Linked DNA regions of Caenorhabditis elegans. The protein of the gene in region 2 purifies or fractionates together with the protein of the main gene of each other region. This does not show direct contact. Each region holds a gene or a part of one and is shown on either strand. Other genes may lie near its edges. The genes, in order: tag-276 and ZK899.3.

Region 1 (11,784 bases), on a different chromosome or scaffold from region 2:
TCTACCGGCTTTCCATGTCTTCCAAAACGTAAGAATAACTGCCCAGATGGATCATTTTGTGTATCAAGTAGTCAGGATGGAATGTCGATATGCTGCTCAAACAGGAGCATTGAAAAGTTGGTGATTTTAAGCTCCGCCCACTTCTTGGTTTTCTGGGAGAAGAAGACCATTCTAAAATAAAAACTATAACTACAAATAAAATAAATCCATATTTTTACAGAAGTTTCCCGATAACATCACAATTAAAACTCTCCAAATCTGCACCGTTCCCAAAGGAAAAGCCGATGCAAAAATCCACGTCATCACTGATGACGTCACTAGACTCCTCCCAAATCTGTCCGAAATCCCATCCAATTATTGCACATGATGGGAAATCTCTGGTTTTGTGCAAGGATTGTGTTCAGGGGTTAGTTTTGGACTGCGTTTTAAAAATTAAAAAATTTATTTTTAAACGAAAATGTTACCTAAACTCGAAATTTACAATTTTTGCACCAAAAAACTGGAGAAAAATTTTTAGTGCCCAAAAAAATTATTTTTGAACATTTCAAATTTTTTTAGATTTTTCAGAAAGTTCACATAATATTGAAGATTTTGATTTTGTAAATTTGAACAAAAGCATAAAACTGTTTGTATCACAAATTAAATTTTTTTAACATTTGAACATTTTGGGTCCCACCACGATAAGTTTCAGAACCGATATTTTCCTGGAAACTGTTATAGAAAAAAAGTAAAAATTCAGATTTATTTCGGGGTACCCCGAATTCAAACAAAATATCATAATATGAAAAAAATTTTTAAATCAAACGTTAAATAATATTTCGAATTTTTGGGTCCCACCACAAAAGCTTTTTTGCCGAAAATTTTGTGAAAAAAATTGGCAAAATTGTATGTATGATGCTTTAAATTTAACATTTCAACTAATTTAAAAAAATTAAATTCGAAAATTTTTTTTTCAAATTCTATATTTTCAGAGTTTGCGCAAAATTCCGCACCAGTAACGTAGAGGTATGCTGTCAAAGTTCTGACGATATTTGTGGTGTTGGAAGTCAAATTTTGATGAATGGATTGGTGCCGAGGGACTGTAACAAGAAGCCATGTGGGATGGGGTAAGTGAATTTTACAGCTCAAGCCATGCTCTTAAAATAGCCAGGAGCTAATTTTTTTTGCTCGAAACTTTCCGAAAAACATCTAAAACTTGGAATCAATTTTTTGATTTTTTGAAAATTAAAGTTGAAATTTCACAAAAATTTTTAAACATTTTCAGAACTTCTAAACTAAAATTGCACCGCAAATTTCAAATTTCCAGCTACGAATGTTCGCTAACCCCGACGGGTCTTCGTGTATGTTGTTCGTTAGCCCAATGCCCGTCAGGAGTGTTTGCGAGAAGTGTGTGCGCAGCCGGATGTTTGAGAAATGAAAAGTGCATGGAAATTCAGAATGAGATGTGGTGTTGTCCATCCGAGGAATCATTCGGTTCAAGAATTGAGATGGTTTGTAGGAATGGGGAGAATGGGTAAGTTACTACATTGTACTGTAGTACTGTATACTGTATAGTGTACTGTTGGGGTACTGTAGCTCAGTTTCCGTTTGTCAAAAATTATCAAAAAATTTAATTCAGTGTTTATCATCCAGAAAATAGCCTTAATATACCGAGTATAACTGTAGAAAAATTTATGGAATTTCTCTAAATTTTTCTAAATTTTTAACGATTTTTTTTCAATTTTGCAAAAATATTTGATTTATAACACTAAAAACTATTCAAATGCCAGAAAATGGAGCCGTAATGACCAAATATATCTGGAAAATTTTTAAATAAATTTTCTAATTTTTTAAAATGATTTTTCGTCAATTTTTAAAAAATCTAAGAAACGGCCGAATTAAATTTGAATTCCCGCGCAAACCATATATTTCGGCCGTTTTTTAAATTGTTGAATAATTGAAAAATCATTTTAACAAATTCGAAATTTTTTTATTAGGTGCTTCTATTGAATTTTTCTACAGTTACATTCGGTATATTGAAACTATTTTATGTCATTTAGAGCAAAAAAAACTTCCAAAAATTTTATTTCCTCGAGTTTTTTTAAAATTTCAAATGTACTTGATTGTCTAGATTACTGTAGAAATGCTTATGACTCAATTACAAAAAAATCCCAGTATTGATTCTTATTCCAGAACCGGTGAAAAATGTGACCCAGCTTTTCCGGCGTGCTCACAAGGAGCATTTTGTGAGCTGAACAAGGAGAAGACCGCCCATATTTGCTGTAAGCGGTATAAAAATCGACGTGAGTATTTTATTGCTTAAACCTATAAAAACTAAAATTCAAGAAAAAAAAAAATTTCAGTCGGCAACAGCCGTAAAACCCTTCTACCCCCTCCATTCTACTACACTACAACTACTATGAAGGCTCCCATAACCATAGCCACAACTACTGCAGAACCATACCCTTTTGAATCTGTGTAGGTTGCTTAATTAAAGGCAAAGTAGCGCCAGAGGGGAAAGTGTTTAAAACTACTCCATTGGTGTCAAAATGATCGAATATCATTTTAAAAAATTTCAAAAAATTTTTGAAATTTTTTTATTTATTATCAAAAAGTGACAATTACTCAGTTTTTGCCACTCATAATTTTGGAAGTCAACCAAAAAAAAATTTTTTTCTACATTTTTTATACTGTAATTTTTTTTTAATTATTTGTATTAAAAAATTGTAGGGGTTGGAACATGCGAAATTGCTTTGGATTTCCTCAAAGGCTCATATTTTTCAAAATGTTTGCAATTTTCCAAAACTGACCGGGAATAATGAAAAATCTAAAAATTTTTGGACTGTTTGTTAATGATATTTGGTCATTTGAAATAATTTTAAGTGTATTTAGACACAATCCCCACTGGCGTTACTTTACTTTTAAACCATCAAAGGTATCTTAATCATATCTTAATATTTATTACAGTCCAAACTGCCAAGACCCTGAAGCCCGTCCACTCATGGAAAACGGCTTCCCATACATTTGTGATCATATCGGAGATCCGTGTATTCTTCGATCAGGATATTCGTGTCAAGAATCTGATATTGATGATGTCTATGTGTGTTGTACTATTCAAATGAACCGAATCCTTCCACCACAGATTCCAATGATTGGGCCATTTACGTTTATGACGTCATCAACTACTACAACTACTGAGAAGCCGATTGAAGAGGAAGAAGTGATTGCGCAGCCGACATGCCCATTTTCATATATGCCGTCGAAAAATGTTAATCAAGATGTGCAGCGTTGTCTATCACTGTTTACGTTGGAGTGAGTTCCAGAAAAATAAAAAATAAAAAATTTTTTTCGATTGTTTTTTGAAACTCTAAAAATCAGTATTATCTTATTATCTTTATCCAATTTTTTAAAATTTTTTTTTAAATCGGAATTAAAAAAATTCTAACATACATATATTGTTGAAAACGTTTAACGTTCAAAAATCGATATTTTAAAATAATTCCAGCTGCCCACTCGGCTACACGTGTCTACCATCTTCCACTACCGACAGTTATCTATGTTGTATTCGGAAGCCTGTGGTCTATTAGGCTTAATTATTGATTTTTGTTTTTTTTTTCGAATATTTGTGCCAATTCTATATTTTTTAAATATTTTTTTAGCTAATGAACATGTTTTCAAACAGTTTAATTTAAAAACAGCCTAATACAAAAACTTGGAAAACTAAGCCTAAGCCTAAGCCTAACCCTAAGCCTAAGCCTACACCTAAGACTACACCTAAGCCTAAGCCTAAGCCTATGCCCAAGTCTAAGACTAAGCCTAAGCCTAAGCCTAGGCCTAGGATAATGAGAGCATTTTCAGACTGCTCTATAAAGCCAAACAAAGATTTTGCAATAATTCATAACGCATTCGATTCACAATAACAAGTTCTTTAATAAAACTATAAAAATGTAAAAAGTTAGGAGTCAAATTTTTATTTATTTAACACTGAAAAATTGGAGTGTGTAGATAATGAGAGCATTTTCAGACTATGTTTTTTCAGAGCTGACGCCAAGCTTATGCCTAAGCCCAAGCCTACGCCTAAGCAAAAGCCATAATTCTGAAAATCTAAATTCAAATGTTAGCATCCAAGTCTGGGCTCAACGGTCCAAGCCTGAAAGCTTAAAAACCTAAAGCCTGAATATTTTTGCAAACATAAGTAAACTGAATTGAAGTTTTATCTGTGATGTACAGTTTTAATTGACAAGAAACATTGCAATCGGGATTAGTTTTTTTGAAAAACTGGATAATAAAAATGAGGGAAAATTAGTTGAAAACACAAGAAAATAATGACAGATTATGAAAAATTGGCAACGAATATAATAAGTTTGGTAAAATTATACGACTGGGGAGGAAGAAGCCGACGATTCTTCGGATGAAGAGGAGCTTGATGGTGACGTGGATGATTGTTTTGTAGTCTGGAAAGTATTAGTTTAGGTGGTTTGGTCAGGTTTAGAAATTTTTTTTTAAATTTAATTTGGTGCGAAATTTTATTTTTATTTTTCAGGCCAAATTTACGGCGCAAAATCGGTGTAGATTTTTTATTTTGAAATTTTTTTAAATTGCAATTTAACTTAATATGTAGGTATTTTAAGTACAAAAATAATCGAAAATTATTTTATTATTTTAAAAATTGAGTTCGTTTTCAGAAAATTAAAAAGTTCTCAGCAAAATTTTAAAATAACAACAAAAACTAACCTTGGAGAAATTTTCCGCTTCCTTTTGCAAATCCGCAAAAATATTGAGCACATTGGCGAAGAGCACCTTGTTCTTCGAAGCCTCCCGCATCTTTTGCTCCACAACATCCTGCTCCAACTCCTGAGCAGCGAGACGACGAAGCTTCTGGAGCAACAAGTTGACTGGGTACTGGTACTCATACCGTCCATCATACTGGCTCTTGACAATTTGCTCGGTACGGCATTCCCGGAATACTCGAATCGGGCAGTCGAGGAAGAGAAGACACTCCAGTGCATAGTACCGGTTGTGCTCTTTGAGCAAGTAGTCAGTGTATTTTCTGACTTGTTGAGCAGGGCTCAGTGGAGCTGGGACTCTTGGGAGAGCAGCATTGGAGACCGGCTTGGTGTGAGATGGCATTTAGAATGAGTTAAATAAAAGGTGAGAGAAGAACTGAGATATGTGGTTAAGAATGACACTAACCTAGACCTAACCCTGTAGGACGCTGCAATTTGGCAACAACAAAAAATCGATATATGGGCGGGGGGGAATGGGCTATGCAACGTGGCAATGGGAAAGCAGAAGGAAACAATGGTTATTGATTGGTTTACGATTGTGAATATATAAATTTGGTACATACGTACATTTTTGTTTGAGAAATAAGGGAGGGTTCTCCCTGAGGAACATGGAAAAAAGTTGTCAAAATTTAGGGGATTTCAGATTTTAGTTTTTAAAAATATTGGAATTTTCAGAAATTTTAATTGGATACTTTAATTCTAACGGAATGTTTAAAGAAGGAGTATTTAGAAAATTTGGAATTTGCATAAATTATTAGGTTGGTCAAAATGTCTTTGCAACTTTTTGAATTTTTTTTGGAGAGAGTATTTATTCAAAGCGAACGAGATTCAATGGGTAATATATTCACCATTAGTGTATATGACTTCTTGCCAACCCAACGAAGGTTGAGCAATACCCTCCGCACAGAACTCCTGAGATTAGGAGGCAAAGAAGTCGTCCCACCACGTTTCGACGATCTTTCAATCATGAAACTTCTGCCCGGTAAGGTGATTCTGGAGAGAGCGGAACAAATGGTAGTCAGTAGGAGTCAAGTCCGGCGAATGCGGTGGGTGAGACAAAACTTGGATTCCGAGTGTCTGGAGCTTCTGGCGGGTCCTCAAAGTTGTATGCGGTCTTGCGTTGTCATAGAGCAGCCTAAATTTTGATTCTCTAGGGTGATGTAATCGATGAGCACGGACCATCTTTTCCAATTGAATAGAGTATAGGCCAGCGTTGATTGTAACGGAGTCTGGAAAAAGTCCTCGGAAAATTACACCCTTACTGTCCCACCAAATTTAGAGAAGCACTTTTTCTCTTGAAGTTCCCCTTTGAGGTCAGGTTTCACGGTTTCCTCGACCGGGACCCACTGTTTCTTTCTGGTATAGTTAACATGCAATACCCATTTCTCATCTCCAGTAGTGATATCCTATACCCAGTCTGTTGTTCGTTTCCTAGTGAGCAGCGAAAAAGAGAGGTCACAAAACAATTTTTCTGAGAATCGGACAAATTGTGAGGAACGAGATGACCGAACTTTTCTACCCTTCCGGTTTCGCGGAGATGGTTGATGATGGTTCTTTGGAGATGCTTGAGAGTCGCAGAAAGTTCACGGTTCGTTGCTCTTGGATCATCTTCCAGGGCTCTCGAATTATCCTTATTGATAGCCAAACGAGACCGACCGGATCTTGGTTCATCATCGAGATCGTAGTTCTTTTTCGTGAACTTTTCGAACCAAAACTTTATGGTATTATAGGTGACAGAATTATTGCCTAACACTGCACACATGTTACCACGAGCTTCGTTGCAATTGCAGCCTTGGGGGAACCCATACAGAAAACCCCTCGGAGGGTGTGACCTTCGGCGAGCAAATTCTCGGTCATTTTGAACAACACCCAAAAGTTTTTTCAAATGTATTAAACATGCACATTACGTACTATGCAAATAAAAAAACAGAATAGGAAAATAACGAGTTAACGCTGAGAAATGAAGAAACATACGAATTTTGCAAAGACTTTTTGACCAACCTAATATTACATTTTACTTTTTTTTGTACTTTTTCAAAATTTCTGCAATTATGGGTTTTCAGGTATTTTTTTTGGAATCTTCCGAAATTGTTTCAGCATTTTAAAGAAGTTTTTTGGAACTTTCAGAAATTTTATACATTTTCTGATTTTTCTAAAGGCTTTTCGAATTTGGTTCTTTGGGAATTGTCCGTTTTTGTAGCTTTTGGTGTTTTCTGAAAATTTTTATTTTTATGGGTTTTTACACGTGGTGTCGGTTTGATCTATGTAGATCTACAAAATGCGCGGGAGTTGAGACGCAGAGTTTTCAATCTGATTTCGCATGGTTAAGAACGTGCTGACGTCACATTTTTCTGGGTAAAAAAATCCCGCATTTTTCGTAGATCAAACCGTAATGGGACAGCCTCACTCCACCTTTTTTCAGAGAATTTATATTATTTCAAATGTGTTTTTGGAACTTTTCGGATTTTAAAAATCCCGAAAAAAAGTTACATTTTATTTTTTTTCTTTGATAGCAATTGTATTTATTTCTGAAGAAAAACTGCGCATACATAGGAAAAATAAGAAATTTTCAGCGAATTTCAAATTTTTATATTTATCAGAAATTATCACATTCTTCTACATTTTTTTTTGGAATTTTTAGAAATTGAGATTTTAAAGCTAAATTTCAGGCGATTTCGGAATTTTTTAAAAATTTGAGCTATCTAATTTTTCAATAGTTTTAAAATTTTTTTCAGAAATTTCAAAATTTCAGAATTTTGAGAAACGTTAACTAGTTATTTTAATCCTAACAGAAATTTCCAAAATTAATTCGAAAATTTTGGAATTTTCATAAATTCTTATATTTTGGCATTTTTTAGAGTTTTTGGACTTTTTCGAAATTAAAAATTGAAAAAAAACTGTCAGATTTTTCAAAATTTCCGAAATTTTTGAATTTTCAAAAAACGGCGAATATCCAGGGCGAATTTGTCGGTTAAAATATACAAAGAACTCAAAATAAGTCTATTTTTCAGAAAAAAATAGGTTGGAAACAACAACAAAAATTTAAAAAAATGGATTGAAATCGAAACAATGTGAATTTAACAATCAAGATCAGGTGGGGGAACATCAATAACCGAGAAAAAGTGGAAATTTTCAAATTTCCAAAAAATTGTATTTAGATGGGGATTTAACGTACCAGAAATAACAACAACAACAACAAAAAAAATCAAAATTCAAAAATAAATTATTCAATCTTCACAAGGTGTATCCTCTTTCTGAACACTTTTGATAACTGTAGCGGCTGCATTCATTCGAATATAGTCCCGTTGCTTGTTGATCTCCACCATTGCCTCCAAATGAGCATCAATTTGCTCGGATTGTGGAACTGGGACCGGTCGGTGGCGAAGATGCAATGGCTTATCTTTGGCGGACAGTGGAACGCGGTTTAGGAACTGAAAATTGAAAGAATTCGATTTTTAAATTTTTTTTTGTAAATATTATAATTTTCAAGATTTTTTAAAATTAAAAATCATGTCTCATAAATATTTCCGACTCTCCATAAATTTTCAACATTTATAATATTATCCGAAAATTTTTAAGATTTAAGAATCATCAAAAATTTAATAATATTTAAAAGGGATTTTTTTTAATTTCAGAAATTTTTTTGGAATTTTCAGAGAATTTCTAACATTTTTTGGAATATCCGAAGAATTTCAGACGATCTAAAAATTTTTTAGAAACAACTAAATTTTGAGAAAAATGTTTGAAAGGGATTTTTTTAAATCTCAGAATTATTTAAAATTTTCTGAAATTTTCTGTAAATTTTTGGGATTTTCTGAAAACTTTGGAATTTCCGAAAAATATCAGACTTTCTATAAATTTTAAGAAATTATTAATTTAAAAAAGTGTTTGAAAGGGATTTTTCAAAATTTAGAATTATTTCAAATTTTCTGAAATTTTTTTTGAATTTTTAGAGAATTTCAAAAATTGTCTTTTTTTTAATTTTGTGAAATTATTGGAAGCCTCAAAAATGTATAATATTTAAAAGGAATTTTTCAAAATTTAGAAATATTTAAAATTTTCTGAAATTTTTTAGGAATTTTAAGGGAATTTCAGATATTAATTTTTTTAAAATTTTTAGGAATAATCAAAAATTTATAATATTTTTTAATTCCGAATTATTTCAAATTTTCAGAAATTGAGATTTTTAAGAAATGAACATTTCAGGCGATTTCGGGGAAAATCTTTAAATTTTTTTAAAAAGTTAAGCAAATCCAGTACTAAAAAAATTCAGAATCGCTGAATTTATTCGAATTTTACGGCGACTAATTTCCTATAAATTTTTAAACTTTTATTCTTCAAAAAGCACAAAATTTTTCGAATTTTTCGGCTAATTTCCTATAGATGTTATGACTTTAAAAACAATCTTTGTTAATGCTTCTCTTCAAAAAGCACCTTCAAATCAACTGAATTATCAGCCATCAGGGTTCTTCTCTGCTGATAAATCACCGCAAAAGCCGTCATAAAAGCATCAACTCCAGCCCGATGCAGCCCTGTAACCACATTTCTCTTGAGCTCCCGAAAGTCTCGAGTCAACAAATTCTGCTCAAATTTCGCGTTCTTCCATGCCTCCTCATCGGTGCCCGTCTTCTCGGCAACCGATTCAGCAATCACATTATTATATCTCCGTTTTCGTTTGAACGCCTTCTTATTCTCCTTAATCCTCTGTAAATCGATAGCAGTATCCACGTCATGGAGCAGTTTACATCCTTTTTCAGTGTTCCGAGCGTGGCAGAAGCCGTGATACGCGAAATATTTGCACACGTGGATGTGAAGATCGATGGGAATCGCGTGATCTGGGAATCCTTCTGGAAGACGTACATCTACACTTTCCGTAGCGTTTTTTAGAGCTTTTATCGACTTTTCAGAGCTTGGGAAGCAAATTTCGATGTGATATCGATTATTTTGACGCTCGATCTCGTTGTCTCCTTGCCTGAAATTATTGATTTTTTGTTGAATTTTTGAAAAAAAAATTTCAAAAAATTTGTCAAAATTTTTTTTATTTTTTAAACCGGGAGAAAATTGGAATTTTTTGGAGAGTTTTGCCGAGAAGCTAAATTTTTAATTTTTCGATTTTTTAAAGAATTTTTTGTATATTTCCCAACTAGCCACGTGATGCCAGGCTGCCCCATTACAGTTTGATCTACAAAAATGCGGGATTTTTTTTGCTCAAAAAATGTGACGTCATCACGTTCTTAGCAATTCCCGCATTTTTTGTAGATCTACGTAGATCAAGCCGAAATGAGACACTCTGACACCACGTGAACTAGCACGTTTCCGACATTTAATTTTTTTCTTATTTGGGATAAAATTGGATTAAAAAATTTTTTTTTGATTTGTTTTTTGGAACTTATGCCGAAAGTTCAAACATTTTAGTGGAAATTTCAACGAAAAATTAAATGTTTTCAGTTTTGGTGGGAATTGAAAATTGAAATTTAAAAGTTTCGCAGGAAAACTGAATTTTTTATTTTTTATTCAAATATTTGGCGGGAAATTTAAATTTTTTCGAAAAGTTGAAAGTGAAAGTCAGAAATTTTATAAAACATTTTTTTAATTTGTTCAAAAAAAATTGCGAAAATTTTAATTTAAAAAAAAATCATTTTTATTAGTTGACATATTTAAAATAACTTTCAAAAAATTGGCGGGAAATTCAAAATTTTCGAATTTTGTCAAGAATTTTTATGAAATTTCAAATGTTAATTTTTTGCCAGTAATAATTTGATTATAACGATTTTTTTGCATTTTTTTTCAAAAAATTTGGCCAAAATTTTTTTATTTTCTCAATCGGGAGAAAATTGGAATTTTTTGGAGAGTTTTGCCCAGAAAAATTAAATTTTCAATTTTTTTTTTTTGGAATGTATGATTTTTTTTTGGAATTTATGAGATTTTTCAAATTTTAAACTTGAAGTATGACTGAAAATTAAATTTTGCAATTTTTGGATTTGAAGCTTCAGAGGAATTGAAAAAAATTGTTCAAAAAATTGGCTGAAAATTCAAAAATTTTCGATTTTCAGAACAATATTTTAAAAAACCGGTTTTTCGAAAAATTGTTAAGCCTAAGAATTTTTTTTCGAAAAATTAAAAAATTAATTTAAAAAAAATAATTGTTTCAAAAAAAATTTTTTTTTTCAAATTAACATTTTTTTTTCAATTTTCAAAAAAAAATTAATTTTCTCTCTGACATACGTTCTCCGGAACACATATTCCAAAAAAGAGGCAGTCATTCTCGTCTGATACTCTGCCAAATACTTGGAATCCGCCACCGGCAGATAGTTATCCGGAAACATATCACTCAAATTATTAACGAATCCATCAAGAGTGTCAGGTAAATCGATATCATATAACTGCTTATAGATAAATGCCAAATCAATAAATCCATTGTGAAGGCAGAAGGTGGCCGATGAGCCTAGAAGCTCACGGAAAAGAGTTTTCAATGGACAGTTGGCTCCCTGGAATCGTACTCCTGATTGAATAAGTCTGTTGAAATCGAAAGAATGTTTGGCGAGAAATTGAAGAGCCGATGGTTCAATTGTGAATGGTTTTTCTGAGAATGTGAGAATATTGAAAACTTGGGTCTCGTAGCGAAGAGCTCGACGTTTTTCACTTTTATGCGTCAGCTTCATTGTGGCGATTCCAACGGATAGAATGCTTCTGGAAAAGGTGGGAGAATTATTGATTTTTCCAAAATTTATTTTTACATATTTTTTTCCGAAAAATTATCGATTTCTAAAAAAGTTCAAAAGGTTCTTTTTTACGAAATTATCGATTTTTACAGTTTTCTCAGGTAATTATTGATTTTTTTTTTCAGATTTTTTAAAACGAAACTATTGATTTTTTTTCGGAATTTTTACGAAATTATGACGATTTTCCAAAAAAAAAATTTTTTATCGAAATTATCGATTTTTACAGATTTTTCGAGGAAATTATCGATTTTTACAGATTTTCAACAATAAATTATCGATTTTTCCAACAAAAAAAT
Region 2 (12,515 bases):
TTGAAGCCATCTAAAACATTGAAACTTGATTAATTTTCACAACTATCTATTGCTAAACTGATAGATATTTAATAATTTCGAAATAGCTCGGAAAAATACTTTTCTGATTTTTTTGTTTCATTTTTGTACCAATTCTAATTTGTTCACTCATCTAATTTGTTCACTCATTGATCTCATCGACGAAATGTTTTTCTTGATTTTCCCTGCTTTATAGTTCTCATCTCAATTATCCAATAAAGTCTCATAAAATGAAATTAACTTGATTTCTTTTAATTAAAATGTTTTCAAAAACTATAGACCGAGGCAAGAGACATGTCACAACAACCTTTTTTTCCAATCCTCTTTTTTTTGGTTTGTGTCAGTAAATTCAGATTGTTCAATGCATTGTTTGGAAAAAAGGAGGATATAACAAATATAACTTTCCAATTATACTGTGTATAATTTGCAAGAGAGGAACAAACAGGAAAACTGCTGACAATTCTACCTAATTTTATTCAACTAATCCAAAGAAACATCAACTAATTATTGCACCTATTTTTTTTTGAAATGTATTGTTGTTTTGAATTTTATTATTCATGTTCAAGTAAGTAATAAAACACAGCTGAATGATATATTTTTAATCCAAATCGGCAACGGGAGCACTTGGCGTACTGATTGGGGCAATTGATCCAGAAAATGGTTGTGGATCTTCTGGGAGCATTTTGTTTGTGATCAAAGTGTTCAATTTTCAATTGAGTTCCTTTTATGGATTGAATGTGGCTTGGGAACAGAACAACGTGTCTAAAAATAAATAATAATATTAATTATGCATTTCAAAAAACGCAACAAGGCGATTTTCTTGTTCTATGAATTTTTTTGACTAAAAAACTTGCACCTAAAACAATTTTGATACCTGCCCAATATACGACCTAAATTGTTTTGTTCATTTTCCCATATTTCTAATTACTGTTCAGAATAGTCATGAAATAATTATCTTTTAAAATTTGCAATTATTTCCATAGGTGTGCTTGCAAGTACGTTGTTGCCTATCATTTAATCGGTAAGATGAATCAACATAAACGATTTTCAGAAAATCGAGACAAATTTTAGAACAAGACATAAAATAAGATTACAGAAAAAAAAAATCACCGAAAGACTACTTTCTCAAGCTGAACACACGTGATATTCCGGAATTTACTTTTGGCACAAAATGGGCAACAATTTTGACTGCTTTGCACGTTCGAGAAAAGTATCATCAAATTTTGATTTCAAAGATGTTAAAAGAAACAGGCAAATCGTATTTATGTACGTTGGTTCTTGTTGTATGTAGAAAATATGTTCAAAGTGGAAACTTAGGATACAGAAAAAATTTAAAAATTTCGTATATGGCTCTTATTTTCTATTGTGTCTATAGAATAATTTGTAAACCTATTTTTCATTCTGGTTTTGATTTCAAAACATTCCTGCTCACTGTTGAATTCTTTCCAGTATTGAATTTTTGACCTAAATTCGATTTAGCGTGGCATGTCAGATAGCTATCAGTTTTCGAAATGCGGTGGAAACTTTTTGCGGTGTTTTCGAAAAAAAGAAGGGAGATACGGATCGTCCCGTATTTTGACATAACGCGTGAATTTAACTGCTAATCTGAGTTGAAAATCAGAAGAAACGACCTTCCATTTTAGTTGGACAGTTTGAAACTGTAGGTTACAAGAGCCGAAATCCGCGAAAACATGCCTTCGGATGGTGTAAGTCAATTTTATTTATTTCAATTTCTTTTATCAAAAAAACATTTTCAGAGAGAATGCGTTTCAATTCATATTGGTCAAGCTGGTGCTCAAATTGGAAATGCTTGCTGGGAGCTGTATTGTATTGAACATGGTCTTGATGAAGCTGGATTTTTAAAGGAGGAAGAGAAAAACAAGAAACAGCAATCACTTCAAGCATTTTTCTCGGAGTCGATGAACGGGAAGCATGTGCCACGAGCGATTTATGTGGATTTGGAACCAACTGTGCTGGATGAGATACGAAATGGGGTGTATGGTAACTTATTCCATCCTGATCAGATTATCAATGGTAAAGAAGATGCTGCCAACAACTATGCACGAGGGCACTACACTATTGGAAAAGAGCTCATTGATGTGGTCTTGGACAGAATTCGAAAACAGGTCGGTGACGGAATGGTTATGTCTGATTAAAAAATCATGAAGAACTTTTTCGGTATTCAGTGCCATCTTTTTAGTAGAAAATCTATTAAATGATTTGCTGAGTAGCTGCTAAAAAGTTGCGGCAGCGTTTCCTAGTGGCTGCTGAGTCTACCTGTATGTATACGTCAGGTTAAGTTTACTCGGCAACCAGTTTCTAACATTTTTTTCAAAAAACAAATCAAACTTTTTTCACTGAGAGTGGACCATGAGGAACATCTATTGAAATAGATATTAAATATTGGAAAGCAGATGAAAACTGCTGGAAAATATACACTTTTCTATTTTATTTCAAATATACTTATTATCCTTACTAGAAATTAAGAAAATTGCCCACAACTACAGAAATATCTTTGTTAGTGGTTTTCAATAACCTTCAGTCCAATTTTGTTGTCAAATAAAATATCGAAATAAAATGAACGGAGTGAGAAATGAAAAGAGGAATCAACAATAATCTGAATGACTAAAATACCATTAAGCATCTTCAGAGTGCAAATTTAAAAAGAGAAAACATACTGTAGAGTGTAATGTAGCAGGGTTAGAAAATAAAAATCATCAATTCAGACTGAGAACTGTGAGGGACTTCAAGGATTTCTCGTCTTCCACTCTTTCGGTGGAGGCACTGGATCTGGGTTCAGCTCTCTTCTAATGGAGCGACTTTCGGTGGAATTTGGAAAGAAAAGTAAATTGGAGTTCAGGTTTATTTTAGTACTTTGTACCACCAGACGTAAATCCGAACTTTATAGTGTGTATCCAGCACCACAAGTCTCCACGTCTGTCGTTGAGCCCTACAACTCTATTCTGACTACTCACACAACATTGGAGCTCTCCGACTGCTCTTTTATGGTGGACAACGAGGCGATTTACGACCTTTGTCGTCAAAAACTTCATGTTGAGGTGAGAGGGGAATTATTCACGATGCATTGAAGATAATAATCTCAGAGACCTTCCTACTCAAATCTCAACCGTCTTATCGCCCAAGTTGTGTCATCGATCACCGCTTCGCTAAGATTTGACGGAGCTTTGAATGTTGATTTAAACGAATTCCAGGTGAAAACAAAAAACTGAATATAGAGCGACGGTGACAATGTGATTTCAGACAAACCTGGTTCCATATCCAAGAATTCATTTTCCACTGGCTACCTACGCTCCAGTCATTTCAGCTGATAGGGTAAGAGTGCATCAGCCAATTTATTTCAATTATAATTTCAATTAATGAATCCGTTCTACATAAAATGACATGATGTAGTATTACAAGTTAAGCTTTTTTGCAAACGATAACCTCATTCAGGCTCACCACGAACCCTTGTCAGTTCAAGATATCACTCACATGTGTTTCGAAAAGGCTAATCAGATGGTGAAATGTGACCCAAGTGCTGGAAAATACATGGTAACTCAAATATAAATGACACTCAACTGCACATTAATATTTTCAGGCGGTCTGTTTGCTTTATCGCGGCGACGTCGTTCCTAAGGATGTCAACGCAGCTATTTCGTCAGTAAAGGCAAAACGAGGAATCAACTTTGTAGATTGGTAATGTTGCAATTTTAATGTACTGTGATGAATTACAAATGCCAGGTGTCCAACTGGATTCAAAGTCGGAATCAACTACCAAGCCCCAATAACAGTCGAGGGTGGAGATCTTGCAAAGGTGAAATACTTTTTACATGCAGTTTATGTTTCATTTCTTAGTATTTCTCAAAACTCAAATTGAAATGCTTTTTTTAGGTACACCGTGCTGTTTGCATGCTGTCCAATACCACAGCAATTGCTGAAGCGTGGGCTCGTCTCGACCACAAATTTGACCTAATGTATTCGAAGCGCGCATTTGTGCACTGGTTTGTAGGAGAAGGTACGTGACTACGGTAGGACAGAAACATTTTGAAGAAATCTTGGAAAATGATGCGAAAGAGAATACAATTTCCGTAGTAGATTCTTTATCATAATTGTAGGGACATTTGAAAACATCAAATAAAATTCAACGAGGCAAAATTTGATTTCAGGTATGGAGGAAGGAGAATTCATGGAAGCTCGTGATGATCTGGCTGCTCTCGAAAAAGATTATGCAGAGGTTTGTGAGGAAAAATCCCAAAATACAACTAATTTACAAGTGATTTACGGAATATTGTTTCAGGTGAGCAGAGACACTGCAGATTTGGAAGAAGAGAATGACGAGTTCTAAGAAAAATTATAAGAATGCAAATTAATACGTCAATATGAAAAAGTTTAACCATTTCAATAAAGTTTAATAACGGTTTTTCTAACTCTAATCATGCCCGACCTTTAAAACTTCAAAACAAAAAACTTACCGTATGTTTTAGTGTAGTATGCAATACAGCTGTCCGAATATGTTTGCGGTGCAGTTACAGACTGAAAATTAATATTTTATTACTTATTTTTTGATTAAAAAATGTCAATCATTAAATTAAAAATATAAGCTCAATGAAAATTTGTTGGTAATCATAACAAAAAATTATAAACCAGTAATTGGCACATTAATAAGCGAAAATTTGGTAGTACAAGTTAAATTCAATTTACAAATAATAAAAACCTTTCACATCTCTCAGTTTCAGTAACAGAAATTACTGATAAAATTAAAAATTAAAGAAAAATTGAATTGAGCGTTTTGTATCAAACATAAGGTTTTTGTGCATGAGTGTTTTTACTAATTTTTATATTTAAAATATCTGAACGAACTTTGTTTTAAAAAAAGATTTCGAACCAACGTATTACGATTTGTCTGTTTCTTTTAACGTCTTTGAAATCAAAATTTGATGACACTTTATACTTCGACTTAGCGAAAAATACAATATTAAATGTAAAATTCTTAACAAACAAAATTAGCATCATGGATACAGTAGAGACATTATCCGGAATACAAAAAACTTTTGCTAAAATATGTTGAAAAATTGGAACTACATAAAGCAGAAAATTTGAACAGAGAAAGTAACAAAAATATGCGTCACAAAGGGTTTTGTGTTTATGGGTGAGAAGGGTTCGGTTTGAAATCGTGAATTTATGCAAGGTAGACGTCCTTCAAGTGTCGGGTATAGTTCATGTTGTCTCAAAAGGTCGTCTGCTCTTCACTGTATTTTCTCTTTCTCAGATTTTCTGCTTCCCTCATCATTGCCATTTTGTCGTCTTTTCAGCTTTCGCTTCTTGTTCCGTTCACGCTCCGGGCAGTTATCTAATCCATCTGCTGAAACACAAAAAAGTACATTTTCGCTTTTACTTTTTTGTCTCTATTTTTTTCGAGAAAAATTGAATATCTCCAATTTGACTTACACGTGATGTCATGTTCAAACGTAGCTGCAGCTGGAACATTTGTCAAACGATTATTCGAACGTTCCTCCTTTTTCAATAAAGTCCGAGAAGACTTTGACTGCTTCTGATGTTTGCTGCTACCTTTATGATGTGCCGCATTTGGGATAGCCCACGCTATTCTTAAGATTTTTAGAATGTTATTTAGCCTCATCTTAAAATCACTACCTGGGTCTCGGAGTAGTTGATTTGCTGTCAGAAGTGAGCAGTTCTACAGTAAGTGGAACATCCACCATTGAACCTGAATTGCTGGAACCAGGTGAGGCCGTGAAAAACTCTTCTTCATCATCCTTTCTGTCAACACTGTCTTCCAAATTCGGAGCTGGAATTTGATTGAAATCGAACATAGGCATTGTTGTTTGACCATTAAAAGCCAATGGGTCCGGAGTAAGGACCACATCGTCTTCTTGTAGGTTAATCGAAGCAATAATTCTTGCCAGGTTAGTTGATGGCCGTGAAGACATTTTCACTTGATATGAACGAATTTTCAGATTGAAATCTCAAATTTGAAAAAAATAGGATCTGACAGCAGTAGGATGAACTTTTAACGGGCAAGCAACATGGCACCGCCTCTTTATTCTTGTACGAAATTTACATAGAAGAAATAAATTTCATCATACGAAAACTACAATAAAAAATTAAATTGTCTTACGCTGGATTGGAAGCACCTTCGTAGGTGAATACATTTCTGAAGTGTAATTTCAAATAAAAAAGCTAGTTGGCAAAAAATGATGATGTTTCGAACATCTAGAAAAAAAATTTCAGAAACCTGTGAAACCTCATTTTCGAATATTTTATTTATCGTTCATTTAGATTAGAATCAAGTTTTAAAATTCAGTATTAATAAGATTCGCAATTATACGGAAATTGATGCATATTATGAATATGAAAATTTTGATCAAATTTTTTTTCGAACGTATTTCCGGTAAGATTTATTAATAAAGGTCATTTAAATTTAATTTTAGATTTTTTTTCAATACCGTATATGCACTATTGCATGATTCTTCTATGAAAATGTGGACTCGATAAAAAGTTACTCTTTGCACATTTTGTTCAAAACTGAATTCATGGAAGATGAAGTGGATGATGGCCTGAAATTTTGGAATACTCAAAATACAAATCGCTTCGAACCTTACCGACAATTATGTTTCAAACATTAACTATGCTATTTATGTAGTCTTTTCTGCTCACATTATTTTCGATAACGTTTTTTCCAGTGATATTCTCTGTCAATCACACGTTTCAAAAAGATAACCACTCGATTTTTAGGCACTCTGAAAAATCATAAAATGTAAATTTAAGAGCAAATCCACATAATGTAGAGGATTTTGAAAAATAGTGTCCTCCGCACGTGACACACGTGAAAGTCAATTCTCGGCAATGCTGAAGAAAAGGGAGCAAATACTTTAAACGTTCTCGACATAGCACATTTTTTAACTTGAAAATTGATTGTGGGATACTGATATAAATTCGTACATTCCCTTCGAATAAAGCAATAATGTTCAGCCTAATCCAACCCTAATAAATGCCATTGCACCAGTTATTGTTTGCTTACAAAGGTCCCTCCTTGTTCTGGTCCAAGAGACGAACGGAACGGTCTCTCCTTCATCGTGCACACAAATATTTATTTGCCACGGAATAGCAACGTCCATTGACCATTTTGTCGTTCTCCTTTCTGACTAGCTGACGACTTTTTAACCCTTACCTATGTGCAACATAGTTATCAAATTGTGGTCTTTCATTCGTTTTGTTATCATTAAGTTGTATAATGATAACAAATTGTGCTTCTAGAAAATAGCTATTTAGTTGGGAAAACGTTAGTCGTGCTGGTTAATTTATTCATTTCGAACGGCCATTTTCAAAATTATGCTCAATCATTTTTTTTAAATTTAAAGTTTGTTAGCGAAATGTTATAATAGTAATAATAATAATATACTTTTTCAAAATATGATGGACATTCCTTCACGGCGGGAGAAGAATTCGTTTTTCTGTATAAGGATGGTGTCTTGCCACGTCATTTCCTCCATTAGCAAAGTAACCCATCCTCGTCGTATTTACTCCGTCGACCGTTCTCTTTCTACCTTTGCTAGCCATGTACTTGTTATGTTTACATTTGTGCCCATAGCCTGCATATCGATCGAGGTCAACTGGTCAAAGGACGCCCTATCACAAACAGTGCACACTTTCCTGTCTTGGCTGTTTACGGCGATGAGTCATGAGAAAAGCAACGCTATTCTTTTTTATAATGCATATTTGAATTTAAAACTTCAATTTGTTCAAAGTTGAAATATAATTATTTTCCACTTACTAGTAAATTGTGAAAGTTAAACAATAGTTTTCCTGCAGATCTCGAAAACTTTATCTTTTTTGCGTTTCTTTTGTTTATATATCTCATTCACGATTCTTATTTTGAAGATAATTTTTCCAGACATGGACTACTTGATGGACCGATACGTCTTTGACAACTTGCCATTTGATGTGGGGCCGGAGTCTCGCAAAATTTGGGGCCAACGGGCTCTACATGCTATTCAGGTAATTTGTTAACTAGCAAATCATTTATAGAAAATAATTTCAGTGGTTCGATTGGATTTGCAAGTACCAACCGGTCTCTACAATATACGAAAATCATACATCGTTTTTATTTGGTGAAATCTTGTTCTTCCTTCTTGCCGGACTCACGTTTGCACATGCCTGGCGATCTGGAACACGATTTGTACTTGTATGGTTTGGAATTCTTGTCCATGCACTCAACGTGGAAAACCTCTGCTACTGGATTCCGGATATGGACAATTTCTGGCAGGCCCAGGGAATTCTGACTTTCTTCGGTGCCCGCGCTCCTCTCTACATCCTCATCGGTATCTACCATATGTTCGACTACACTTCGTTTGTTCTTATGAGCAGGTAAGATATGTGACAGTTTTTAAATAATCAATAATTTCAAATTTCAGACTTCATCTGCCATGGTGGGCGTACGGCCCAGCAGTAGGTCTTGGAGCAGTAATGCTTGACATGCCATACGATATCATGGGAATCAAACTTGTCTGGTGGACGTGGCACGATACCGATCCAAACATTTTCGATAGAATGAACTGGGTACCTTGGAACTCGTATTACTTCCACGCATCGTTTGCTTGCTCGTTCACTTGGATTCTTATGTATTCTCGATATAAGCTAGTTGACAAAGAGTATGATTGGAGAAAGTGAGTTCAACTAAAGTAATCAAGTAAATAATCAAGTCATCAGAAATTTTCTAAGACCTGGTTTTTAGATTTAAGAAGTTTATATGAAAACTAGTCTAGCAATAGTTTGAAGAAAGAAGCCAAAGTGCTTCGTTGTTTGTATATATTTTAACGAATAATTTTTCCAGGCTTCCGAGAGAAATCCTTTGCATCGTGTTTGCTGGAATGGGAGCTTTTTGGCTGGGAACCATCCAATTTGCTCTTCTTTACCACCCACTTCATGACATTTTCAAGGTAGCCGGATTATCCGTCTTAAATTTCTGGAACGATAAATTTTCAGGTTCATTCCGAGTACACAACAATTGCATTTCTCTCCATCTATGCATTGATAGTTATTTTCGCGGATCGCAGGAACAAAAATGAAAATTCTCGTGTTGGAAACAAGTATTGGTTTGATGAACTTGCGGCGGCAATTGCCATTGAGTACCTTTTCTTCATGATTGCCGTTTTGATATCTGATCCAGTTAGTATTGTCAGTGATGGACTCCATCAACCAATTGGACCTTGCAATGAAACTCAGAAGGTTCAAACTCCGACTGGTCTTGTGCTTCAAAAGCAGAAGTATTTCTGTACAGACAACTACGATGAGAAGTACATCGATTTCCATTGTGTGCCAGGAGGACCACCGCAACAGGTAATATAAAATTTGAAGTTAGTTACGAATTCAAAACATTTTTTAGCCAGAACCAGGTGTGCCGTTGGAATGGTACGCGGTGTGTGGAACAGACTACGAGAACAGAGCAGAATACGTTTTCATCATTTGGTTCATCTGCATTCTCTACAGCTGTATTTGGTATCAAATCGCAGCTTGTTCTGGCGTCACTCCAAAAGATCCAGTTAAGCAACTCAAGAAACGTGTCTCCAGCCAAAAAAATACTGAATCTAAAAAGACCAAGTAATGAATCAAATTTTTAATTTTCTACTTATGTGTATTTCAAATGAACTTGTCATATTTTCATAATATACTTTTGGAACAAAATACAGCGAAGTGACAGTTTAAAAGACAACAATATATCAGATTTATGCACAAAGTGTTTTGAGCATGTTAGAATAGTTTGCAGTTTAATTTGATTAAAAAAAGGCTACCGATAAAGCCATAAACAAGAAAAATTAATATCTGCAGATATTGTAGACCAGCCAAAAAAACAAACCCCCTGTGTCAGAGAAGTTGAAGGTAAAAAATACGCGTGCTACGTTTTTTAAACATTATTTGTACATCAAAAAAAGGAAAATTTGTCAGGCCTATTCACTTCATCCATTGGGGAGTTCAAAGCTCAGATCAAATCGACTTTTGTTGAGTAATCAGGCAGCGTTTGAGCTTTGCTCGGTTTCTTTTCAATTTATTTTGTAACCGTAGCTATTTTCTGATCCATTTGGGGCTTGAGACGGCAAGAGGTTTTGTTCTTAATTCTTTCAAATCGATAGTTTTCATTTTCTTACATCGTTACATGATTTCATTTCTACGACCCAACATCATTAACTGGCCTGAAAAATAATATTCAAAACAGGACATTCCAGATTATTTGATACTTTATTAATATCTGTCTGTAATCGCTGAGCAACAACACTCAAATTTGAAATTGCTCTTTGATTTTCAATATCCGTCGGATTACATGCTCAAATATTTCTCAGCAAACTCGGCCACGAGGATAATGTGTCACGCTCTCACACTCTCTAACTGCCTCATTCCATGCATTTACGCGCACCTTGTCTTACTTTTCATTTTCAGTTATTGATTATATTTTTTAAATTCAGGTATGGAATCAATAAAAAGGTTTCATGGGATGGAGATGCTTCACAGTGCTGTGGAGCGAATGGATGCATTTGCAGAGAAGTATATGGTCAGTTTAAAGAAATGGTTTGAAAGTAGTTGCTGAGTTACATTGAAAAAATGCTGGCGCTTTCTAGGTAAATTGAGCTTTTGTTTTAAGAATTCTAAAGAATATTCATGCACGCACGCAGTTAGAAACAACTGAATCGTTTCAAAGATTGAATTTTTTTTGTAAATTCCTAGTTGCATTGATGTGAACAGCCTATGCTTAATATCTCAATGTTTATTTCTTTGTCTCTTTCAATTTCAGGCTGTTAGAAGCAAGTTGACATTAGGATTAATTGTTATGTGGGCGTTCGACTACTTCGGGAAACTTTTTGATTCCTACATCAAACGCATCTGCGGAATCAGGCATGGAGCTGTGGTATGTTCTTGAATTTTCAATATTGTTATATTACTTTTAAGAACTCATTAAATTTTTGTGAGAGAATAATTGCAGTTTTACTTTCCTCGGCGATGGTTAGAAGATGATGACGAAGTATTCGATGAAATAGCGGAGAACTTTGAATTGGATGACTCTTCAATAGATGAACAAAATCAAACAATTAATGCCAAAACAGATCACATGGAAGAATTTGAAGAATCTCTGGAGGACTGGGAATTCGCTTCGTTTGATAATATGGATGATTATGAAACTGACTCAGATGATGAGAATAAGTACATTATTGAAAAAATGCGCAGTCGTTACAGGGCTGCGTTGACAGATCCTCAACACATTGCTGCTTACAGGTACATTTTTATATTTGTTATTGATGTATTGTGAAACGTTTTGAAGAATAATGCGCATTTAATATGCATTAAAGGTAGAGTAGCGCCAGTGGGAGAATTGTTAAAAACTACTTCTATGGTACCAAAATTGCCACAAACTACAGTGAAATTTTTAATTTTTTTTTTATTAACTGGAGAAAAGTGACAATTACTGAGTTTTTCTCACTTTTTGAGAAAAAGCATAGCATCTTCGGGTCTGTACAGTGTTAGAATACTAATGTTCAAAACATAATTAGACCACAAAACTCGAAGGGATTTTTTTTGAACGACGATTTCAAAAAAAAAGAAAAATTGTCACGTTTTGAATTTCAATAATATTTTTTAAACATATCTTTGAAAAATTTGTCTATGATATTTGGTTATTTTTTAACTATAGGAGTGCTTTTTCAGTTTCACCAGTGGCTCTACACCACTTTTAATACAGATAATTTTATTTTTAATACCTTTACTAGAAAAGTTCCAACTTGCTATAAAATTAGACATTTATTTTTTTTTCATTCGCATAAACGGCAAAGACAGTGAAATATTTTTATGCGCTTTAACATTTTTGTTGAAGAAATCCCATAGATTTTATCCAAATCAAAAGAAAATCCGAACAAAATGTATTTTTAGAGCCAACGAAGTGAAGCGAATTTCCAATGAAATTCAATGTGATGAGATTTTGTTGGAAAACGGGCTCATTGATCCAACAGATTTTGGAAGATCACTTATGATTGAATTCTAATGTTCCGACACTGAAACTGTTGTTATGAAAACGGATCACATGGTTTTGTTTTTCTATTTTCATTTTCTCTATATTTATTCTGATTTTGTGTTTTCATTTTTGTTTAAAACCAATATAATTGCAAATAAATATTCTAATGTACAATTCCACATAGATTGGTCAAAAGGTCAACGATTTTATCACATTTTGGAGACTTGATGAGCTTTTTATTTTGGTCTTGATGGCACCGGAAATTTGAAGAAATATGACTAACACTGGCTGGTAGATTCGGTTGAAGAGCAACTGTAAAATACACAAATTGTACTGCAAAAAATTGATTCCATCAAATCATGCAGGTACATAGTGAAATATTGTGTTAGCAAATTGATCGTTAGCTTGCAACAGAGGATAACAATTGGAACAAGAGCATACGTTCGTGCGATAATAACATTCAAGATGAAATTATAACCGT

What was found.
Region 1: the proteins of ZK899.3 (region 2) and tag-276 fractionate together in Caenorhabditis elegans (co-fractionation; one large-scale study listed by BioGRID). This does not show direct contact.

What each region holds. Positions count from the first base shown.
Region 1 is NC_003280.10:12,243,970-12,255,753, forward strand, and holds tag-276 (uncharacterized protein), read right to left. Parts: upstream 5,174-11,784; 5' UTR 5,110-5,173; coding exon 4,714-5,109; intron 4,434-4,713; coding exon 4,353-4,433; 3' UTR 4,156-4,352; downstream 1-4,155. Other genes in the region: Y57A10A.24 (EB domain-containing protein), read left to right, coding at 1-116, 221-406, 972-1,106, 1,307-1,513, 2,173-2,282, 2,343-2,457, 2,947-3,291, 3,485-3,566; parn-2 (Target of EGR1 protein 1), read right to left, coding at 7,994-8,197, 9,201-9,738, 10,992-11,456.
Region 2 is NC_003284.9:9,447,410-9,459,924, reverse strand, and holds ZK899.3 (uncharacterized protein), read right to left. Parts: upstream 6,778-12,515; 5' UTR 6,639-6,777; intron 6,594-6,638; 5' UTR 5,967-6,593; coding exon 5,671-5,966; intron 5,625-5,670; coding exon 5,467-5,624; intron 5,381-5,466; coding exon 5,265-5,380; 3' UTR 4,949-5,264; downstream 1-4,948. Other genes in the region: ZK899.5 (C2H2-type domain-containing protein), read left to right, coding at 1-14; tba-8 (Tubulin alpha-8 chain), read left to right, coding at 1,710-1,724, 1,776-2,144, 2,745-2,878, 2,927-3,077, 3,123-3,230, 3,280-3,351, 3,472-3,570, 3,617-3,714 and 4 more; ZK899.2 (DUF7802 domain-containing protein), read left to right, coding at 7,933-8,034, 8,078-8,403, 8,451-8,702, 8,870-8,975, 9,022-9,375, 9,422-9,640; ZK899.7 (RNA-directed DNA methylation 4), read left to right, coding at 10,526-10,582, 10,823-10,936, 11,012-11,301, 11,953-12,064; ZK899.1 (uncharacterized protein), read right to left, coding at 12,313-12,346, 12,513-12,515.